5 linked regions of the Rattus norvegicus genome follow. The protein of the gene in region 3 interacts with the protein of the main gene of each other region in a biochemical or structural test. Links are inferred from orthologs where the notes say so. Each region holds a gene or a part of one and is shown on either strand. Other genes may lie near its edges.

What was found.
Region 1: the proteins of Aurka (region 3) and Gadd45a form a complex in vitro, tested with the Homo sapiens proteins (2 studies listed by BioGRID). The link is inferred for Rattus norvegicus from reciprocal best matches to the Homo sapiens genes AURKA and GADD45A.
Region 2: the proteins of Aurka (region 3) and Usp21 form a complex in vitro, tested with the Homo sapiens proteins (2 studies listed by BioGRID, with this or other methods). The link is inferred for Rattus norvegicus from reciprocal best matches to the Homo sapiens genes AURKA and USP21.
Region 4: of the proteins of Aurka (region 3) and Nin, one has a biochemical effect on the other in vitro, tested with the Homo sapiens proteins (2 studies listed by BioGRID). The link is inferred for Rattus norvegicus from reciprocal best matches to the Homo sapiens genes AURKA and NIN.
Region 5: of the proteins of Aurka (region 3) and Otud7b, one has a biochemical effect on the other in vitro, tested with the Homo sapiens proteins (2 studies listed by BioGRID, with this or other methods). The link is inferred for Rattus norvegicus from reciprocal best matches to the Homo sapiens genes AURKA and OTUD7B.

What each region holds. Positions count from the first base shown.
Region 1 is NC_086022.1:97,483,995-97,488,302, forward strand, and holds Gadd45a (growth arrest and DNA damage-inducible protein GADD45 alpha), read right to left. Parts: upstream 2,806-4,308; 5' UTR 2,656-2,805; coding exon 2,612-2,655; intron 2,523-2,611; coding exon 2,421-2,522; intron 2,336-2,420; exon of another isoform or gene 2,317-2,335; coding exon 2,079-2,316; intron 1,182-2,078; coding exon 1,068-1,181; 3' UTR 503-1,067; downstream 1-502. UniProt on the Homo sapiens protein: In T-cells, functions as a regulator of p38 MAPKs by inhibiting p88 phosphorylation and activity.
Region 2 is NC_086031.1:86,234,618-86,238,182, reverse strand, and holds the end of Usp21 (ubiquitin carboxyl-terminal hydrolase 21), read left to right. Parts: intron 1-31; coding exon 32-143; intron 144-322; coding exon 323-478; intron 479-978; coding exon 979-1,043; intron 1,044-1,254; coding exon 1,255-1,358; intron 1,359-1,549; coding exon 1,550-1,636; intron 1,637-1,880; coding exon 1,881-1,959; exon of another isoform or gene 1,960-2,165; coding exon of another isoform or gene 2,166-2,172; coding exon 2,173-2,280; intron 2,281-2,366; coding exon 2,367-2,481; intron 2,482-2,694; coding exon 2,695-2,785; 3' UTR 2,786-3,056; downstream 3,057-3,565. UniProt on the Homo sapiens protein: Deubiquitinates histone H2A, a specific tag for epigenetic transcriptional repression, thereby acting as a coactivator.
Region 3 is NC_086021.1:181,557,963-181,562,148, reverse strand, and holds the start of Aurka (aurora kinase A), read left to right. Parts: upstream 1-1,379; 5' UTR 1,380-1,384; coding exon 1,385-1,426; intron 1,427-3,378; coding exon 3,379-3,634; intron 3,635-4,186. UniProt on the Homo sapiens protein: Mitotic serine/threonine kinase that contributes to the regulation of cell cycle progression.
Region 4 is NC_086024.1:94,360,803-94,364,833, forward strand, and holds the start of Nin (ninein), read right to left. Parts: upstream 2,809-4,031; 5' UTR 2,700-2,808; intron 2,324-2,699; 5' UTR 2,277-2,323; exon of another isoform or gene 1,912-2,276; intron 1-1,911. UniProt on the Homo sapiens protein: Centrosomal protein required in the positioning and anchorage of the microtubule minus-end in epithelial cells. May also act as a centrosome maturation factor.
Region 5 is NC_086020.1:186,399,343-186,402,853, forward strand, and holds part of Otud7b (OTU domain-containing protein 7B), read left to right. Parts: intron 1-1,788; coding exon 1,789-1,901; intron 1,902-2,289; coding exon 2,290-2,417; intron 2,418-2,824; coding exon 2,825-2,974; intron 2,975-3,419; coding exon 3,420-3,511. UniProt on the Homo sapiens protein: Negative regulator of the non-canonical NF-kappa-B pathway that acts by mediating deubiquitination of TRAF3, an inhibitor of the NF-kappa-B pathway, thereby acting as a negative regulator of B-cell responses.

The sequences.
Region 1 (4,308 bases), on a different chromosome or scaffold from region 3:
AGAACTCCTGTCAGCATCTGAGTCGAACCCCCACCTTTCCAACCCTCTCTCTCACTTATCTCCCTACACCAGAGGCACGCAGCGTCACCCTTGCAGGTCTCTCTGCGGGCTCTGATCTTTCATGCCTGCACCATTGCACAAACTTTTGTAGCTGTTAGCAATACCCTTTCCCTGTCTCTACCTAGAGAAACTAAGCTCATTTCTTAAGCCTCCAATAAGATGATTTTTTTCCCCTCAGTAAAAGCTTCACTTATCTTCAAGCAGCTTTGGTAACCCTCCTCTCTGCTTCTATGTTTTGCATGCAATTAATTATAGCATTTTAATAATTCATTGTAATTCAGACTTTGCAAGGTGACTCTTTCTCCATATTCCCTTTGCCCTTACCCAAACCCTCTACCATCACCCATCTTTCTGCCTGGTGGCTTTAAAGCAAAGTTTCAATACAAAGTCTGATAAGAGTCCATGTTGGAAAACACATACCACACATTGAGAAACGACACAGTTATTCCATACCAGTTTATTTTAGATAATGTGCTTCAAAAACGTTTTATCATAAATAACCTTTCACATCATAAAATAACTTAGTACGATTTATAATAAAACTTCTGAGAATTTAACATCTCATCAAAATACATTAAACTGTGGCTTGAAAATATGATTAACCCTTTTCACTTTTCTTTTATTTGAGGGCATGAAGACCAAAAAAAATACCCAAAATATTGCTACACATTTAAAGTTTCAACAAAGCAATATTTGGTTTACTTTACTGTAACCCGGCCATCCTAAATTAATAGTTTTCTTTCTTGCACAGTTCTTTGTAGTTTTTTTGTCCCTTTTGACTTGGATTTCTGTTTCCACACAGCTTCCTCCTTCAGTCTCACCTCTCTCTCCTTCTGCAAAGTCATCTCCTAGCCCTCCTGTAGTTGAACTCAGCCCCTTGACATCAGTTTCTGTAATCCTTGCATCAGCGTGGGGAGTGACTGCTTGAGTAACTACAAAGGTATTTCAAAACTTCAGTGCAATTTGGTTCAGTTATTTCCATTCAGATGCCATCACCGTTCGGGGAATCACCGTTCGGGGAGATTAATCACTGGCACCCACTGATCCATGTAGCGACTTTCCCGGCAAAAACAAATAAGTTGACTTAAGGCAGGATCCTTCCATTGTGATGAATGTGGGTTCTGAGAACAGATTTAGAAAAATTACTTCCCCATAATATGATCAGCGTATGCTACTAGCTGTACTACTTTTGAAAGGGCCAAACCCCAAACATTCTGCCAAACAGCGTTTGGCCAAGTCTAAACACCTGTAATGCACACTGAGCCACACAGTTTTGCATATTAACTACCCCACTCTTCATGAAGTTATCATTCTCAAGACTGCCCTTCCAAGCACGTACCCTGGTGGAGTCATAAGTAAAATACTTCTGAAAAACATTCTCAGGCTGTGTGCACCGTGAGAGCTGCAGGGAGGGCAGCTGAACTCTTTTATCTTTCCTGACAATGAATAGCACTTTTCACTGGCAGCACAAATAATCAGGCTACCACTTCCCTACACAAGTCAAAAGAGTACAAAAACAAAAAACCAGAAGACCGAGACAGCAGCACATTTCTTTCTGAAAACACTATCCACCCACCACACATTTTTAAGCGGTGGGGAGGAGGGTGGAGAGGGCTCGTTTAAACAAACTCAAGAGCAGCAAAGAAAAGAATTCCACTCCGTACACTTCACAGAGTATCTATATCCAGGGAGTTAATAAGGTCTGTCTCCTACACGACTTCTATCTTTAGCTTTGACAGCAAATGAAGAATGAAGCTGACTTCTTAACGAAGGGTGAACCGGGAACTTAATGTGGCTTTATCTAATCTGTTCTGCTCAAAGAATTAGTCACACGAGCTAGTGCAGAGGTAGGCAGGGGTAGCTGGGTAGCCTGCTGACTCACTGATATCATCCGCCGCTGGAGGCCACCCATGAGCTTAGACACGCTCCTCACAGTATCAGAACCCCCGCGAGATCAGCGTCCAGCTCGGACAAGGTCCACCCCAGCAGATTCTGAGCTGCAGCCCCTGGTCTCTTACCGTCACCAGCACACAGTGTAAGTCCGGGGTCTGCGCAGCGCCCCCGCTCTCAGCGGGGCTCTTGTCGTTCTCCAGTAGCAACAGCTCTGCCAGCCGACCCGGGTTGCTGACCCGCAGGATGTTGATGTCGTTCTCGCAACAGAAAGCACGAATGAGGGTGAAATGGATCTGCAGAGCCACGTCCCGGTCGTCATCTTCATCCGCAGCCAGCAGGCACAGGACCACGTTGTCCGGGTCTCTACAGACAGTGGGCAACGGTGAGTGTACAAGCTCCGGGGAGCGCGGGGTAGAAGCGGGTGGGTAAGCGGGAGGCGGGGGGCGCGGGTGGCCGGGGCCACTTACACGTTGAGCAGCTTGGCTGCCTCGTACACGCCGACAGTTATGGTGCGCTGACTCCGAGCCTTGCTGAGCACTTCCTCCAGGGCATCGCCCACCGTGTCCATCCTGCAGATCGCAGGGCGAGAGCGGGTCAGTAGGGTTCCGGGCCGCGAAGCCGTAGGGGTGGCGGCCACCGAGTCCGCAGGCACACTTACCTTTCGATCTTCTGCTCTGCGGCCGAGAATTCCTCCAAAGTCATATTGCAAGTGCGAGTCCCTCACGCGGCGCGCGGGCTGCTCCTGGCCCCCACAGTGCCCGGCGCCGGCTCTGCGCTGGCTCCCACCCTCGCGTCTCTGCTCTCGCCGGCTTCTTGCTTAGCCTCGCTGGGGAACACTGCACAGCTGCCTCGGGGCCACTGGAGGACAAAGGGTCCGATCCGGAGATATGGGGCTAGCCCTCAGCCAACCACGGCTAGCCTCATTTACATGCAGCCAGGTCATTGGGTCATGCAAATTAGCAGACTTTGACACTCTGACGCTAGCTCCACCAAGCTAGGCAGAGTTGAGCGGAAGGGGGCGGAGCTATGCGGGAGGGAGCCCCTGGCACGAAGGTGGTGCAGAAAGCCGGTTGGTGGGGTCCGGAGCCAGCTCTAGACAGTTTGTGAAGCCATCTGGTGCAGAGGGCTTTTGGAGTGGTTCAAGTGTCCTCAGCTCTGACTGAAACAGCCTGCCAATTGTTTCTCTGGTTGTGGACATCTTTTGATTGTCGTTTCGTGTTCTTTTGTGTTAAGGGACTGCTTTTTAAAATTTATTTCCAGGGGTTAATGCACTCTAGTCTAGTTGTTATTAGTAAGCATATTTTTAAGTGTTCAGACGTACCAGGCAAAGCTTGCTTCAGAGTGTTTATATGCAAGTTACAGGTTAAGCTGCTTATTCCCAGTAGTATTCTTTTGGTGCCCTGATGGCTGGTTTGATTTGGTTTTGGTTGGTTGTGAGAATTTGAAACTCCAGGGAGGAAAAAAAAAGCACATTTGTGTGTAGTGATGGCACAGTACCGAGTTGGAATCTTTTCCACAAAAAGCTGGTGAAATTTCTGCCCCACTCCTTGTAAGCTGGTGATCACATGTCTAACGAGCCAAGCTCACCGTTCTTAAAACCTTTCCTGAAGAAGGCTCCTTCTAATCAAGTAAGAGCTAAGAGACAAATTCTGTGATATTCAGAGTAACCACAGTCTAAATTCGAGATGCTCATGATGCCCCCTAGACTTCCCATCACAGAGTATGACACTGCCTTCTGTTGCCTATGATCTCACTCTGAATCATGAAGCTGTAACTATAGTTCATTTTAGCCATGTGCTAAAATTTCACCTTTGAGACATAGCAACTTGTAGGTAGAAGGCAAACCTTTATAACTGTAAGCAGGAGTTACAAATTAAAAACAATTTTTAATGTAAACTTTTACTGCATAGTTCAAAACCCCCTTTTTTTGTGAGCTTATTCAATAAATACGAAAACATTGCCTGAACCTACTAGTCACCAAGAGTGGTGAAATGGTGAAATGGTGAAATGGTTTGCATTCCTAACAGTGCTTATATTGAGGTCACTGGGCAGTTAGAGAGGTAAATTTTGCAGAAGTACATGTGACTTTTGCATCCTTAAGTGTTTATTCTTGTGGACAAAATATTTTCCAATTCTCTTAATCTTAATGGAAAATTGATAGGTTGATTTTTCTAGTTCACTTATTGGAGACAACTTTCCTTTTAATCCCTAAGTGCTATGTCCCCAAGAGACAATATCTGAGTAAAGGAACAAGCGTCAGCATGCTTGTGTACCTCATACTTATGCCTTAAATCTTTACATGAGCTATGCTTGTTAAGGAATTCCTCAGGGCAGGGGAGATGACTCAGTGATTAA
Region 2 (3,565 bases), on a different chromosome or scaffold from region 3:
TTGAATCCCTTCCCCACTGTCAAACCAACAGCCTTTGCAGATGTGATTGGTGCCCTCTGGCACCCTGACTCCTGTGAAGCTGTGAATCCTACCCGATTCCGGGCTGTCTTCCAGAAATACGTCCCTTCCTTCTCTGGATACAGGTGGGAACTGAGTGAATAGGATTTCTCTCTGGCTGTGTCTGGGGTTGGGCCAAACAGAGGCTCTAGCAGCCATGTTCTGAGCCTTGAGGTTTCCTACAGAGGAAACAGGGACCCAGATTGGGCAGGGGATACTTGTGGACCACAAATAGATCACTTGTCCATATTCTGTCTGGCTATAGCCAGCAGGATGCCCAAGAGTTCCTGAAGCTCCTTATGGAGCGGTTGCACCTCGAAATCAACCGACGAGGCCGCCGGGCACCACCAATTCTGGCCAGTGGTCCAGTTCCCTCCCCACCTCGCCGAGGAGGGGCTCTGCATGAAGAACCTGAACTGAGGTAAGGTTTGTTCCCCTTTGTTCCTCTTTTCAGTAGTTCAGTCAGCATTCAGTCTTCACAGAGCTGAGCCAACCGAAACTGGACATGTAGGGCCCAGGGGAGACCCTTTAGCACAGGAAAAAAAAGGAAGGAAGGGAAAAAGGGGGAAGCTGAGAAGTACAGATATAGGCAAACAGAAAATAGTGTCAGGGATGCCATTAAACTGGGGAAAGAGAGGCTTCTACAATCAAATATATCAAAAGCTTGTAGAGGAAGATGACTCTATCTATCTATCTATCTATCTATCTATCTATCTATCTATCTATCTCCTTTTCCCTTTCATCTTGGATTTCCCTGGAAAGTTCCCAGAAGCATTTCTTACTCCTTTGACTAGAAATTTAGGGAAGGCGCTGGTATGTGAATAGGGAACAGGGTTCTGTGGGTAATTTCAGTGGTTTAGGGGTGCCCAGTATTAACACGGCTGTCTCACAATTTGTCCCCATCCCCTTAATCTGTGGTAGTGATGATGACCGAGCCAACTTAATGTGGAAGCGCTACCTGGAGCGAGAAGACAGCAAGATTGTGGGTATGCAGTGGCACACACTGGGAGTTTAGGCTTGGGAGGAGGAAGCATGGGGCCAGGCCAGATGCTGGGGCTGTGAAACGGTGTACAGCTGAGTGGCATGCTGTAGTTAGAAAGGCAGATCAGAGGCACCGGGAGAGGTGGGGTTCTAGGAAAGCACGTCAGGCCTCCATCCCATAGTGACTTTTTCTCCTGCCTTTGTGCTTCTGCCTAGACCTGTTTGTGGGCCAGCTGAAAAGTTGCCTCAAGTGCCAGGCCTGTGGGTATCGCTCCACGACCTTCGAGGTTTTTTGTGACCTGTCCCTGCCCATCCCCAAGGTGGGATTCCAGTAGATTCCAGGGGTGGATGGAACATGGGTTCTGTGACCCACCCCTCCCCACCCCTAAGTGTGGGTGGGAACTGTGTGGGTCTCTAAAGCAGAATTAAAGCCTGGATTTAAAAAAAGATTAAAAAAAAAAAAAAAAGGAAACTCAGAACATGCTGACCCTCACTTCCCCTTTCCCACTAGAAAGGATTTGCTGGGGGCAAAGTGTCTTTGCGGGATTGCTTCAGCCTTTTCACCAAGGAGGAGGAGCTAGAGTCGGAGAATGCCCCAGTATGTGGGACTTCAGCGGGAGGGTCTGCCTGGGTGAAAGGAGATGCATGCCTCCTTAACTTGGGAAGAACAGCTGTATGTCTGGGTGAATGTTGGGGCTCTCGGGTATGTCCTAGTGTGTGCCTAGGTTAAAGGGGGAGGGGCAAAGCAATGAGACACCTATTAAACTTATGTGTGAGTTGGGGTGTCAGAAAAAACCACCTAGGTGAGAACACTGATCTAACACTATTTGCTGTTTATGTAGGTATGTGACCGATGTCGGCAGAAAACACGAAGTACCAAAAAGTTGACAGTACAAAGATTCCCCCGAATCCTCGTGCTCCATATCCTACTTTTCAAGTTCTTATTTCTCTTAGGGTATCTCCCATACAGTGTTTCCTCACCTTCAGTGAGTTTCCCGTAGGGAAAACCTGCCACCCCAACTTTCTCTGCCACTTTTCAGGACGTGTTGGGGGAATGGAGGGTACCGAATCTATTTCCGCAGTCTCCCTTTTAGAGACCCTTAGCCTCCCCAATGCTCCTTAACCAGGGCTTAGATCTGAACCGATTTTCCACCTCCCGAGGCTCCATCAAGAAAAGTTCAGTAGGTGTAGACTTCCCACTGCAGCGACTAAGCCTAGGGGACTTTGCCAGCGACAAAGTGGGTGAGTCTGGCAGGGAACGTCCTAAGGAGTCTTCAGGAGGGAGACACAACTCCCAGTTGCAGAAACTGATGTTATCTAACCTGCAGGAAGCCCTGTCTACCAGCTGTATGCCCTTTGCAACCACTCGGGTAGTGTCCACTATGGCCACTACACAGCCCTGTGCCGGTGCCAGACTGGTTGGCATGTCTACAATGACTCCCGGTGAGAACAGCCTCTTATTCAACTCCTGCCCCACCCCACTGCAGCCCTGGCACCACCCCCTCCTGTGAGGTCTGAAAAGATAAGTTCCTGACCATGGATAGGTGGGGGGGGGAGGTCTCTCCTGATCGCCACCTGGCTACGCTACACTGCGTCTTTAGGACAGAGGGGGAATCTTCTGGAATGACCACAGCCATTTCCCATCTCTCTTCTCAGTGTCTCCCCTGTCAGTGAAAACCAGGTGGCATCCAGTGAGGGCTACGTGCTGTTCTACCAATTGATGCAGGAACCACCTCGGTGCCTGTGACGCCATCTTGAAGCCCTGGCACCTGTGAAAACCTTCTCAACACCCTTAAGCCCCCAGGCTCCCCACTTACCTCACAGACGTCTATTTTTGTGTCTTTTTAATCGGGGAGGGGAGGAGGGTTGGTTGTAGCTCCCGTTATTTTTTTTATTAAGAAGTACCCTTCCACCTTGTTTTCCTGTCCCATGTACAGAAATTACCAGGCCCTTGACCATGTACAGCCCCCAGAACCTCTGCAATCTCACTTTTTTGTGAATAAATTTATTAAGAAAAAGTAAATGTAGGAAGCGCAAGGCCCTGGGTTCGGTCCCCAGCTCCGGAAAAAAAAAAAAAAGAACCAAAAAAAAAAAAAAAAAAAAAAAAAAAAAGAAAAAGTAAATGTTCATGTTTGTATTTGTGGGTAGAGGGAATGGATATCTAGAACTTTGGTTCTGTTGGAGCCTTTCTGGGACCCAATTCTGTCTCTGAACAGGTGGGGGCGCTCTCACAACAGAAGGAAAAGAACAGGGATTGAGCTGGCTCCAGACTTGGACCCAAACACTGACAGTTTAGTGGTACTAGGAAGACAAACCTTGAGACCTGTGAAGTTGCGGGAAAGCCTGGAACTAGAGTGCAGGCATTGGCATACCAGGTTTTGCCTGTGAAGGGGACTGCCCCTAGGGGGCAAAGCACCCAAGAACCCCTGTTGACAAACATGATTTCGTTGCTGGGCGGCCCTTGCTCCCGTAGGCCCTGTCTGTTGCTAACATCAAGGAGCTGTTTATGGAGCCTTCTCCCCACGGA
Region 3 (4,186 bases):
AAACACCCCAAGTGTGCCTCAGCAGTCTGAGGCAGAAGGATAGCCTTGAATCTGAGGCCAGTCTCTCCGCTACAGTGTCTCAAAAGTGGAGCCTGTCTGGGAGTGTAGTTCAGTTAGTAAGGTCCTAGCACGTCCTGGGTCCCCTCCCCAGCACTTCATACATTGAGGATGGCGATGAATTTGTAATCCCAGCACTGAGGTACCGCAGGCAGAGGAGCAGGAGTTCAAAGTAATCTCCACCGTTTAGCATGTTCAAGGCCAGCCTGGGATCCAGGAAATTCTGTCTCAACCATAAACCTAAGGTTAGGTGTGGTCTCGCATTCTTTTAATCCCAGTATCTAGGAGGCAGAGGCAGGTGGAGTGAGTTCAAGGCCAGCCTGGTCTACATAGTGAGTTCCAGAACAGACAGGACTACACAGGGAGACTCTGTCTTAAAAAACAACAACAAAAAACCAAACCAAATAAATAAATAAAAAATCCAAACCTAACAAACAAAATCCTGGCTCTACTGCAGATACAGGAAATAGAAATCTGTTAGAATTCTCGACTCCGGTGTAGCTGTCATGGGAAAGCTAAAATGCAGGGCTGTTTATTAAAGCTGGCCTTGGGCCCAGGAGCTCCATTTCCTAACAGGCTTCTGGTGAGGTAGCTGCAAACTACGGTCCTTTGCTTAAGGCTTCTGCCTCCTGCCTAGTCTTCCGAGCCCAGCCTGCCGAGGCATGAGCAATTTTCTTACTTGTAGTCCATCTTTGAGCTGAACGGAACTGTCAAGGTCATTGGGTGTAGATGCAAGGTGGACTTGGACTTGGGAGAAATGAGGCCAAGCCATGAGGGTAGGAAAAGACAGCTAGCAAGGTGATAGAGAAACCTGTTCCACAGGAATGCGAGTGTGCAGCGGGGTACAACAGTGGGGGAAGCTGAGAGACTGGCAACACAGTGTGGTTTCAAAGGCCCAACGGGACTAGGCTTGGGAGGGAGAGAGGCTTAGGTAGGTAGTTCTGGACCTTTGCTGCTCCAAGGTAGGACCATGGCCTGCGGCAGCTGTGGTATAAATGGGGCTTTTTAAGTAGGAGGTCTTCCAAGCAGCCTGTGATGCTGAACATGGTATACTAAAGCAGAAAGAAGAGGCCCAAGAGGGAAGAGGAGGAGAGGGGGTGGCACGATGCAGGGAGTGTGGGAGGGAAGGGCCTCGGGGATGCACAGGGAATGTATCAGGCAATGGCATCCGCTCATCTCTTGTCAGTTTGCTTGTCTCCGGCTATGACAAAGGGTGTGCGGTGCAGAGGCCTGTCTGTCAGGGAGCCGTGACTGCTGAGTGTGACAAACACTTCAGAGCAGGTGGCTCCTTTTAAACAAAAGGCTCTTGTGTCTCTCTTCAGGTGACATGGACAGATGTAAAGAAAACTGTGTCTCTAGGCCTGTCAAGGTAAGTAGAATTCCCTGCATTCACAATTGCATTTTAAAAAGTTATTTATTTTATGAAAATGAGTATCTTCGTGCACACCAGAAGAGGGCATCGCATCACAGGTGGTTGTGAGTTGCCGTGTTGTGGCTGGGAATTGAACCTAGAACCTCTGGAAGAGTAGCCAGGACTCTTAATGGCTGAGCCATCTTTCCAGCCCCTACAATTGTACTTTTTTTTTTTTTCTTTGTTTCTTTTTTTTGGAGCTGGGGACCGAACCCAGGGCCTTGCGCTTCCTAGGTAAGCGCTCTACCACTGAGCTAAATCCCCAGCCCCACAATTGTACTTTTTAAGTGATGTGTACTTTGTTTGTGTGCACCCATGCATATGCCACTGTGGAGGTCAGAGAGCAAGGCTGGAGGGGGTCTCTGTCCTGTGGGTCTGGGCTCTACCACAGGTCCTTGGGCTTGGCTGTAAGACCTTAGTCACTGAGCAAAGCCGGACCGCTCCTGAGCATGTTGTTCTGACAATCGCGTTCTTCCCGCTGTGGCTTTGGGTGGGAACTGGAGGGCTCTTCTTGACCGTGCCTGGAGGCTTCCTGAGCCTCTGTTTCTGTGGGAGATGCCTTTGCCCTGGAACCTCATGTCCTCTGAGCTCATGGTGAATCCTGAGGCTCTCATTTAAGGAGGAGGAAGTCTCAGTTTCTCTGAGTGTGATGAGCGTGGACCTTAAGAGTTGAGACTGACAGAGTCTTCACAGGTAATCCAGTGGGGTAGTGATTGCTTCTCTAGGTGCCTACACTTGCTTCTTCTTTGTCCTTGTTTTCTATGGAAAACTCAATAGATTCTATGCATTTTAGTTTTGGAGATTACTTCCTAAAATATTTCTGTTGGGTGAGGCTCAGTGGGCACACCTTTAATCCAACATTTTAGGAGAGAGCAGCGAGCAGACTGAGATAGTGCCAGGCGTGAGTCTGGGACTGGTCAGTATTACACAGTGAGACTTTGTCAAATACGTACTCTGAAAGGGAAACCCAGGGAGTTTAACGAACTGTGATGATGGTCATAAGCCACGGAAACCCAGCACAACCTTACATTTAGACTGTTCTGCAAAATCGCTTGAGGGCGATCAGTCGCCAGTTCCATCCTTTTTCCTAAGCATAAAATCACCGCACGATTTGATAGGAAGTTTCATCACAGTGGAGGCGTTTGCCTCAGAACTCAGTGCTCCTCCTGCCTCAGCCTCAAGCACGATTTGATAGGAAGTTTCATCACAGTGGAGGCGTTTGCCTCAGAACTCAGTGCTCCTCCTGCCTCAGCCTCAAGCACGATTTGATAGGAAGTTTCATCACAGTGGAGGCGTTTGCCTCAGAACTCAGTGCCCCTCCTGCCTCAGCCTCAAGCACGATTTGATAGGAAGTTTCATCACAGTGGAGGCGTTTGCCTCAGAACTCAGTGCTCCTCCTGCCTCAGCCTCAAGTACTGGGTTACAGGTTGCCAGCTCCCCGGCCTCTGGGCTTACAGGTGTTTGGGGTTTCCATCGATTTACCGGAGCTTATTCCCGCGTGAGGTTAAGGAAGCAGGGCTTGAGTCGGCCAAGCCCTCCCTAGGGCACACGCACATTAACGTAGCTTCAGCCTCCTCCCTTTTACTTTATTTATTAAAGAGAGTTATTTATATATTTATGTCTGGTGTGGGTGAGTGTTTGCGTGCATGCGTGTGCCTGGGACTTGAGGAAGCCAGAAGAGGGGGTCAGGTCTCCTGGATCTGGAGTAACAGATGGTTGTGAGTCACCATGTGGGTGCTGGGAACCAATCCAGAGCCTCTGAGAGGGCAGTCAGTACTGCTACCTGTTCAGTCACCCCCGCCCCCCATTTCCATGTATTACTGAGTTTTGTTAGACTGCAAAGGAAACTTGGTTCTCGTTACCATCAGCCTTTCCTGAAGGCCACTTTCCCTGTCTTCTCTCCATCTCAGTCCACTGTTCCCTTCGGTCCGAAACGAGTCTTGGTGACTGAGCAGATTCCTTCTCAGCACCCAGGATCAGCGAGCAGTGGCCAGGCCCAGCGGGTCCTGTGTCCCTCCAACTCCCAGCGTGTCCCTCCACAAGCACAGAAACCTGTCGCAGGTCAGAAGCCAGTGCTCAAGCAGTTGCCGGCTGCCAGCGGTCCTCGACCTGCTTCCCGGCTGAGTAACCCCCAGAAGAGTGAGCAGCCACAGCCTGCGGCCTCGGGTAAGTGGGGTTGTCACTGCACTGGATGATCAAATGCATAGATTGGCGTTTATCCTTGATGTCCTGGTCTCTCTACCATGTTTGTTGAGGAGGAGGAAAAGAATGAGATGGGTGTCCGTGCATGCTCAAGTATAATGGTGTGTCTGGGCTCCTCCAGTGCTGGGAATGCAGGTGCCATTGCTGGGTCCCCAGGGCCTGGGAGGGAGGCTGAACTCAGATGGCACTGCCTGGAACTGTGCCCAGCATGGAGAGGAGAGTCAGAGGGGCCTTCCTGACAGGAGAGGAGAGTCAGAGGGACCTTCCTAAAAGGAGAGGAGAGTCAGAGGGACCTTCCTAAAAGGAGAGGAGAGTCAGAGGGACCTTCCTGACAGGAGAGGAGAGTCAGAGGGGCCTTCCTAAAAGGAGAGGAGAGTCAGAGGGGCCTTCCTAAAAGGAGAGGAGAGTCAGAGGGACCTTCCTGACAGGAGAGGAGAGTCAGAGGGGCCTTCCTAAAAGGAGAGAGTCAGAGGGGCCTTCCTGACACAGCTGGCAGAGCAGGTCAGAGTTGGCCAG
Region 4 (4,031 bases), on a different chromosome or scaffold from region 3:
CAAAACTACAGGAGCCATACACAAAACGAAAAACAAAACAGATTTTTGTGTTTGCTACTTAAGAAAGAAAGCAAGAAAGGAAGGAAGGAAGGAAGGGAGGAAGGAAGGAAGGAAGGAAGGAAGGAAGGAAGAAAGGGAGAAAGAAAGCCTGAAACAACTTTCATTTCTTGAGCTGTATTTACATAAATTAATTTAGGATGGCTGATGTGAGCTCCTAGGGTCTGAGTGGAAAACGTCTGTTCTCACATCTACAGATGATATTTCCCCAACTGTGTTGAGCTATCAGGATATCGACACTTGGAGCACTCCCCATGTGGAGTCATGTGTCTAATTGCTTATACAAATGGCAGTAAAGAAGTGAGCTAATTTCTAATGATGTTTCTCATAATTCCATAACGTTTTAAATGATCTTACTTGTAAATACAATCAGATAAATGTATCTTTCATTGTGAGGTTCAGTGAGCCTGCCCCACAAGACTTTGGCCAATAGATGTGAGATCAATAGCCAGAATTCAAACTGCATTATTTATTGGCTTACAAATGAGCTGGCATTTATAAAAGTAGCTATCTAAAAGGCTTGGACTGTCTGAATCGCTCTGCGATGTAACTGTCAAGCCTCTATCAGGGTAAGACTTATAAAATGTATTTTCATTATCAACCCAAAATGGAAGCCTCAAGACTGGTAAAATGTTAGTTTGGAAAGTCATTTACAGTGACATTTAAAACAATTTATGTGAACAACATTTGACTCATGATAAGAACACTGACTATTAAATTAAGATTGGCTGTTCAGGATTCTGTGGAGCCCTAGCCTTGTCCTGTGAGTTAACATCTTCTGATATGAAGGGCCACTACATATCTAAAATGAAAGGGGAATAAGAAAGAAAGAACTTGTGACATTCTCAGCGAGCACCCATTAAAATGGCTGGATCATGACATTTCAACAAGAGGGCCACATAGAGGGTGGCTTCCTCTTCCTTGCCCCAGCATCTGTACGTTGGCAATCCATTTGCTTTCTCAACACCACAGCTCAGAATGCTTCCCTCTAAAACATCAGAGAGCCTTGAAAGTAGGCAGGTTGCCAATACCTCCTGCCCAGATCACCTCCCTATGAACACCAACCACAGCCGAAGAGACGGCACGAACTCCTCTTCCAGCCAGTCCGTGATATTACTGATGAGTGTTTCACAACTTCTTTCAATTCCACAGCAAGACATACTAATATTCCAGGTCAGCCTCTAATAGCCAGCGCTCACCATAACAGAAGACCCTAGAATAAGCTACATCGGCACCAGGAAAGTATTTCCTTGGGGGTTCGTTAAGCCTTGGGGAGCATGCAAATACTTAAATTTATGCCAAGATGATAAATGAGAGCGAGCCCAACTGAGAAATAGTTCATGGTCCCAAGAGCCTAGCTCAGGTGCTATGAGATTAATTGGGATGAGCACCCTGTGAGCTACCGTGGCAGTCATGTACACAACCACAGTCTGTTTTGGTTGAGTTGTAACGCCAGGAAAGGGTCTGTCCCAGGTAAGGGACGATGAGACCGTGTCATAATAAAGTTGTCTGGAGATACGATCCGTGGCAGTGCACGATTCCAGCTCCCCTTTCGTTTGCGCCTTCAGGGCTGAGGCTAGGAGCATCATCCTTTCCAATCTCTCTCGAATTCACAGAGCTCTAAGCGGAGGCTGGTTTCCATCAGCGTTGTCTTTTTAGGGGAAGTGGGGGTGGTACTGCAGTTCAGACCTGAGTCTTGGATACTTCTCTCCCACCTACACTCTCTCCTCACTTCATTCCACACTCCTCTGCTCTGGAGATCGCAGTTTTTTTCCAGAGCAACTGTCAAGATGTATTGCCACCCTTTCCTGCTAGCTGCACCCAGAAGTCTCTACCTGCACGGATCCTACGCACCTTCTAAAATCTCCACTTTTAGGACTCCAAGCAGCTCTGCGCTCCCAAGAGGTTCAGATCCGCACCCAGGGGCTTCCCACGCAGGCTTCCCCTTCAGCTTCTGGATCTCGGGGCTGCCTGGGTGGCCTCGACCCACAGAACAAGAACCCTTTCTGCTAGCTCCGGCTCCTGCCCGCGGCTAGAGCGAGGCACAGTAGCAGCTTTCAGCTCCGGGCGCCTCAGGTCTGGGAGGCGGAGGTGTGGCGGGAGGGCGGGCCAGCCCAGGTTCCTAGCAACCCGAGCGGCGTCCCCACTCCACCTGTCCACCCGCGGGTCGCAGAGCTCACTCGCCAGACCCGTGGTCCGGCCCCGCCGACCTCGCCTACCTTCCTTCGGCCTCTGGGGAGCGCCCACGCCGGCCGCCTCCGGAGCTCTGCAAGGAAAGGGCGCTTTGTTAGGGCCCCGCGAGCGCCGCGACACCGAGCAGCCCGCGCCGCCGATCCGGGCACGCGTCCTTCCAGAGGACGCGACTAGGGACCCGCGCCGGCGTCATTTCCATATGTAAGGGGCCAGCACTTACAAAAGCGCGCCGGCGCATCCTCCGCCCCCGCCGTCGCCCCTCCCCCCCCGCCGCCGCCACCCGCTGGCGACAGAGCCCCTCCGGGGCCGCCACCGCGTGCTGGACCGGGATCTGCGGGCTTGCGCCGCTCAGGGCGCTCGGGGTGCCTCGTAGACGGCGCATTGGCAGCCGAGGCCTCTTCGCTCTCCCAGGCCGCGTGACCCCCGTGGCTCCCCAGCTTGTAGCTTACCGCGTCCTGGGGTTTAGGCGCCCCGCGCCACCGCACAGACCATGACCGCGGGACTCTCAGGCTTGGCCCGGCGGCACGGGACGGCCGCGCCCAGCGCGCTCGCTCCCGGCTCAGCCGCTGCCACCCGGAGATCGGGCCGCGGGGGAGGAAGAGCCTGGCCGCGCAGGGAGGAGTCAAGGGGACGCCGGCCAGGGCGCGGCTCCTCCTCCCGCCGCAGCCGAGGGAGGAGCGGGTAGCCGCAGAGAGTCGGCGGGTGCGAGCCCCCGCCAGAGAGATTTGAATTTGGGAACGCCCTGGCTCGGCGTGATCGTCCTGCACCCAGAGGTCGCCTCGGCTCACCAGCGGTCCCTTGCCCACCACCTCCGTTTCCTCTCAGAGGCACCTAGCACCTGGCGCTTGGCACAGGACCCACAACGTTTCTGAAGAGTGAAGACCCCAGCTTGATTGACCTTAAGTGGAGGTTTGGGTACCTCTGTCACCTGCAGGTCACCCTGGTTTTCCCAGCTCTAGAGAACCCTTTGAAAGTCATGGGAAAGGGCCCGGAAGAGCAGTGGACCCTATAGAGCATTGAGCGCTCTGGACGTTCCACCTTTTCTAGAAGCCTCGTTCTCATAGGTGCCTTGCCCCGTGTATAAACTTCAGAGGGTGCAGTTAACCCTCTGTGACAGCCGCACAAAGCAGAATGTCATTGGAATTGGTGGTCCTTCTGCCATCAAGGTTGGTGGGTGGGTCCCCATCCTGCCTTTGTCTCCCAAGCCTCCTCTACATGCTACCCTCACTAAAAAAGGTGCTAACAAAATCTCAGTGCTCTCCCCTTCCCTATGCTTCCTAAAACCAAGTAGTCAAACAGGATCTCAAATCCAGGCTAGAGGTGGAGGGAGCTATGGGCCCCGAGGCAACATCTTTGCAGGATCCATGCGTAGTCCTTGTGGAAGGAAGGATCTGTCTTGATTTATTATATCCATAAGTTATTTCCACAAGAACCTGGACAAAGTCCTCTTGCCACCGAGAGTTGTAGGCGACAGAAAGGAAACTGGCAAGTTCAGGCTCCTGAAGCCAACAGATGTGACCTCTCGGTGACAATCTCCCTGAGGAGGTGGACACCATAGCGTTTCGAAAGCAGGAAGCTGGAAGGCCCGGAAGCCAGAGCATCACACAGAAAGCCCTTCACAGACTAAGATTCAGAAGAACATCGCATATGTGTCAAAACTGCCTAGAATGTAGTGCTCGCAAAGCAGAACTAGTGAAAGAGATTTTCCTGGGGACCCCAGCCGACCCAGGCCTGGTTTATTATTTTCTGCTTGTACTGTGCTATAGTTCTGCAGAGTGAGA
Region 5 (3,511 bases), on a different chromosome or scaffold from region 3:
CATAGAAATTAAAAGGAATTTTGGGCCTAAGGGTAAATTCTAAAGTCCTGTACACATAGATATAGTAGCTATGATTACAGCCTGTGAAGAGATCACCCAGAGGAAAGCAAGACTGAAATAGTTGCCAAACCTCCAGTTTTGTGGGGAGGAGAGTTCAGAGAATAAGAAAAAGCAGTGGTGGGCTGGAGAGATGGCTCAGTGGTTAAGAGCACTGACTGCTCTTCCAGAGGTCCTGAGTTCAAATCCCAGCAACCACATGGTGGCTCACAGCCATCTGTGATGAGCCCTCTTCTGGTGTGTCTGAAGACAGCAACAGTGTACTCATATAAATAAAATAAATCTTTAAAAAAGAAAAAGAAAAAGCAGTGGTGTGGAAGCTAAATTAGAATGTCTAAAGAGGAAAAGAGATAGACAAAGGCCGTGAAAGATGAGAGCCAGAGTCCATCGGATCTGTCAGTTAGTCAGGTGAAGTGTGTGGATGGGGCAGTGGCATAGAGAGCGGAATAGAGTCAGATTGCATTGAGTTAAAAGGGAGCAGAAGAGTAAGGGATGTGAGATTGCTAGACATGGTGGCATGTGCCTGTAATCCCAGCATTTGGGAGATAGATGCAGGAGGATCAGAATTACAAGGCCAACCTCCATACATAGCTAATTCAGTATCAGTCTACAATACATAAGATTCTCTCTCAAAAAGAAACAAAATGGGGCATGGTGTTACATGCCTTTAATCCCAGCACTCCAGAGGCAGAGGCAGGCCAGTCTTTTAAAAGAGTTCCAGGCCAGCCTGGTCTACCTAAGGAGTTCAGAATGTCAGGGCTACACAGTAAAACCCTGTCTCAAAACCAGCCAGCCAGCCAACCAACCACCCACCCACCCACCCAACCAACCAACCACCCAACCAACCACCCACCCACCCACCCAACCAACCAACCACCCAACCAACCAACCACCCAACCAACCACCCACCCAACCACCCAACCAACCACCCACCCAACCAACCACCCACCCACCCAACCAACCACCCACCCAACCAACCAACCACCCAACCAACCACCCACCCACCCACCCAACCAACCAACCACCCAACCACCCACCCAACCAACCAACCACCCAACCAACCACCCACCCAACCACCCAACCAACCAACCACCCAACCAACCACCCACCCACCCAACCAACCACCCAACCAACCAACCACCCAACCAACCACCCACCCAACCACCCACCCAACCAACCAACCACCCAACCAACCAACCACCCAACCAACCAACCACCCAACCACCCACCCAACCAACCAACCACCCAACCAACCACCCACCCAACCACCCAACCAACCAACCACCCAACCAACCACCCACCCACCCAACCAACCACCCAACCAACCAACCACCCAACCAACCACCCACCCAACCACCCACCCAACCAACCAACCACCCACCCAACCACCCACCCAACCAACCAACCACCCAACCACCCACCCACCCAACCAACCAACCACCCAACCAACCACCCAACCAACCAACCAACCACCCAACCAACCAACCAACCACCCAACCAACCAACCAACCACCCAACCAACCAACCAACCACCCAACCAACCAACCAACCACCCAACCTATTTTATGGGTCTTGACTCTGAAAAAAAGAAGAAATGTGATTTAGTACAAGTGTAAAGCAAGTGCTAAGGGAATGGAGAGTGGCTGTAACTAGGAGTCTGGATGGGTATTGCCTTTCAGAACCTAGCCTCTGCTTACATGTGCCTTCATTACTGCACGGTCTCTTGTACAGTCAGGACTGGTGTATACGGAAGATGAGTGGCAGAAAGAATGGAATGAACTGATCAAACTTGCCTCAAGTGAACCCAGAATGCATCTAGGTACCAACGGAGCCAGTGGTGGAGGGTAAGTGTGTCTCGGAGCCAGTGGTGGTGTGAGGGAGCAGGGATCATCTAAGGACTCAGTTCTTTCTTTCCTTCCTTCTGTCTATTCTATGAATCCCAGAGATTGAACTTAGGTCTTCAGGAGTGGGGGCAAGCACCTTTACCCATGTCACCAGCGCCTACTCTCAGATTTGTAACCGTGTCAGCCCCATACCCTTGTCCTGGGTCTCCCTACGAGTGACGTGGAAGCACCGACCATGTAGCACACAGTGATTTGATGTGGAAACTTTGGGTTAGAAAACTAGGGCGGGGCACTCTTTCCATCACTTTGGACCTGGTCTCAGGACTCATTTTGTTTCTTCCTTCTCCCTTATGTTGTGCCTCCTCCATTCTCTCTCCTACAACTGTAGAGTGGAGAGTTCAGAAGAGCCGGTATATGAGAGCCTAGAGGAATTCCATGTCTTCGTCCTTGCTCATGTTCTCAAGAGGCCCATAGTGGTCGTGGCAGACACCATGCTGAGGGACTCTGGAGGGGAAGGTGAGTTAGCTACTCATCTGCATTCTCCTCACAGACCAGGATCCTGTGTGTGGAGCCTTGTGGGGAGCTCCACATTAAAACAGTGGAAGCTTCTCAGGAGATTCAAACAAAAGCTCTTGGGATTAATTGGGATGGGATGTGCCATTGAAACTGGGATTAAAGGACTGGAGAAGTGGCTGCACGAGTTTGGACTACTCTTGCAGGGGACCCAGGTTTAGTTCGAGCACCTACACTGGGCAGCTCACAGCTGGCTATAATTCTATCTCCAAGGGATGTGACATTCACACAGACACCCATGAACACCCATGATTTAAAATAATAAAATAAATCTTAGAGAAGTAGGATGAAGAGACTGAAGTAGGCAAGGGCCTCCCCTTGGTAGTAATGACCTTTGTGGTTTCCTACAGCATTTGCCCCTATCCCGTTTGGAGGGATCTATCTGCCATTGGAGGTCCCAGCCAGCCAGTGTCACCGATCCCCTCTGGTGCTCGCCTATGACCAGGCCCACTTCTCTGCACTTGTGTCGATGGAGCAGAAGGACAGCGCCAAGGAACAAGGTGCCCGGCCCAGTGTGTCTGTGGCTGGCTTTTATTCAGAAGTGGAAATGATGGCTAAAGGGGAGGAAGTGACTGAGTAATATGGAAGGCCAGATGGTGCCAGTCTTTATTTTTGTTTTTTAACCATGCTATATAATATTACCAAGAGTTTTTAACTTTAAAAAGTGTGTCTGTCACCGCTGTTGCAAAGGTTGTTTTAGGTACAGGCTGCACTTATTTCTGTGGTTCACCAGCAGGGAGACCAGGGGATTAATACGCTAACTTGTATCCTGGGTGGTAAGAAAGAGAGTAGCTCATTGGTGTTTAATGCAATCCACTTCTCAGTGTTGCGGATAGATGGACTATAGTTAGTCATAGACCCACATGGGTTCGGTGATGTCAGTGTGTGTTCATTTGCCTTCTCCCTTCTCAGAAGACTTTCTGACAGAATGTTTTCTCTCCCCAGCTGTGATCCCACTCACAGATTCAGAGCATAAGCTGCTGCCCCTGCACTTTGCTGTGGACCCAGGAAAGGGCTGGGAGTGGGGCAAAGATGAC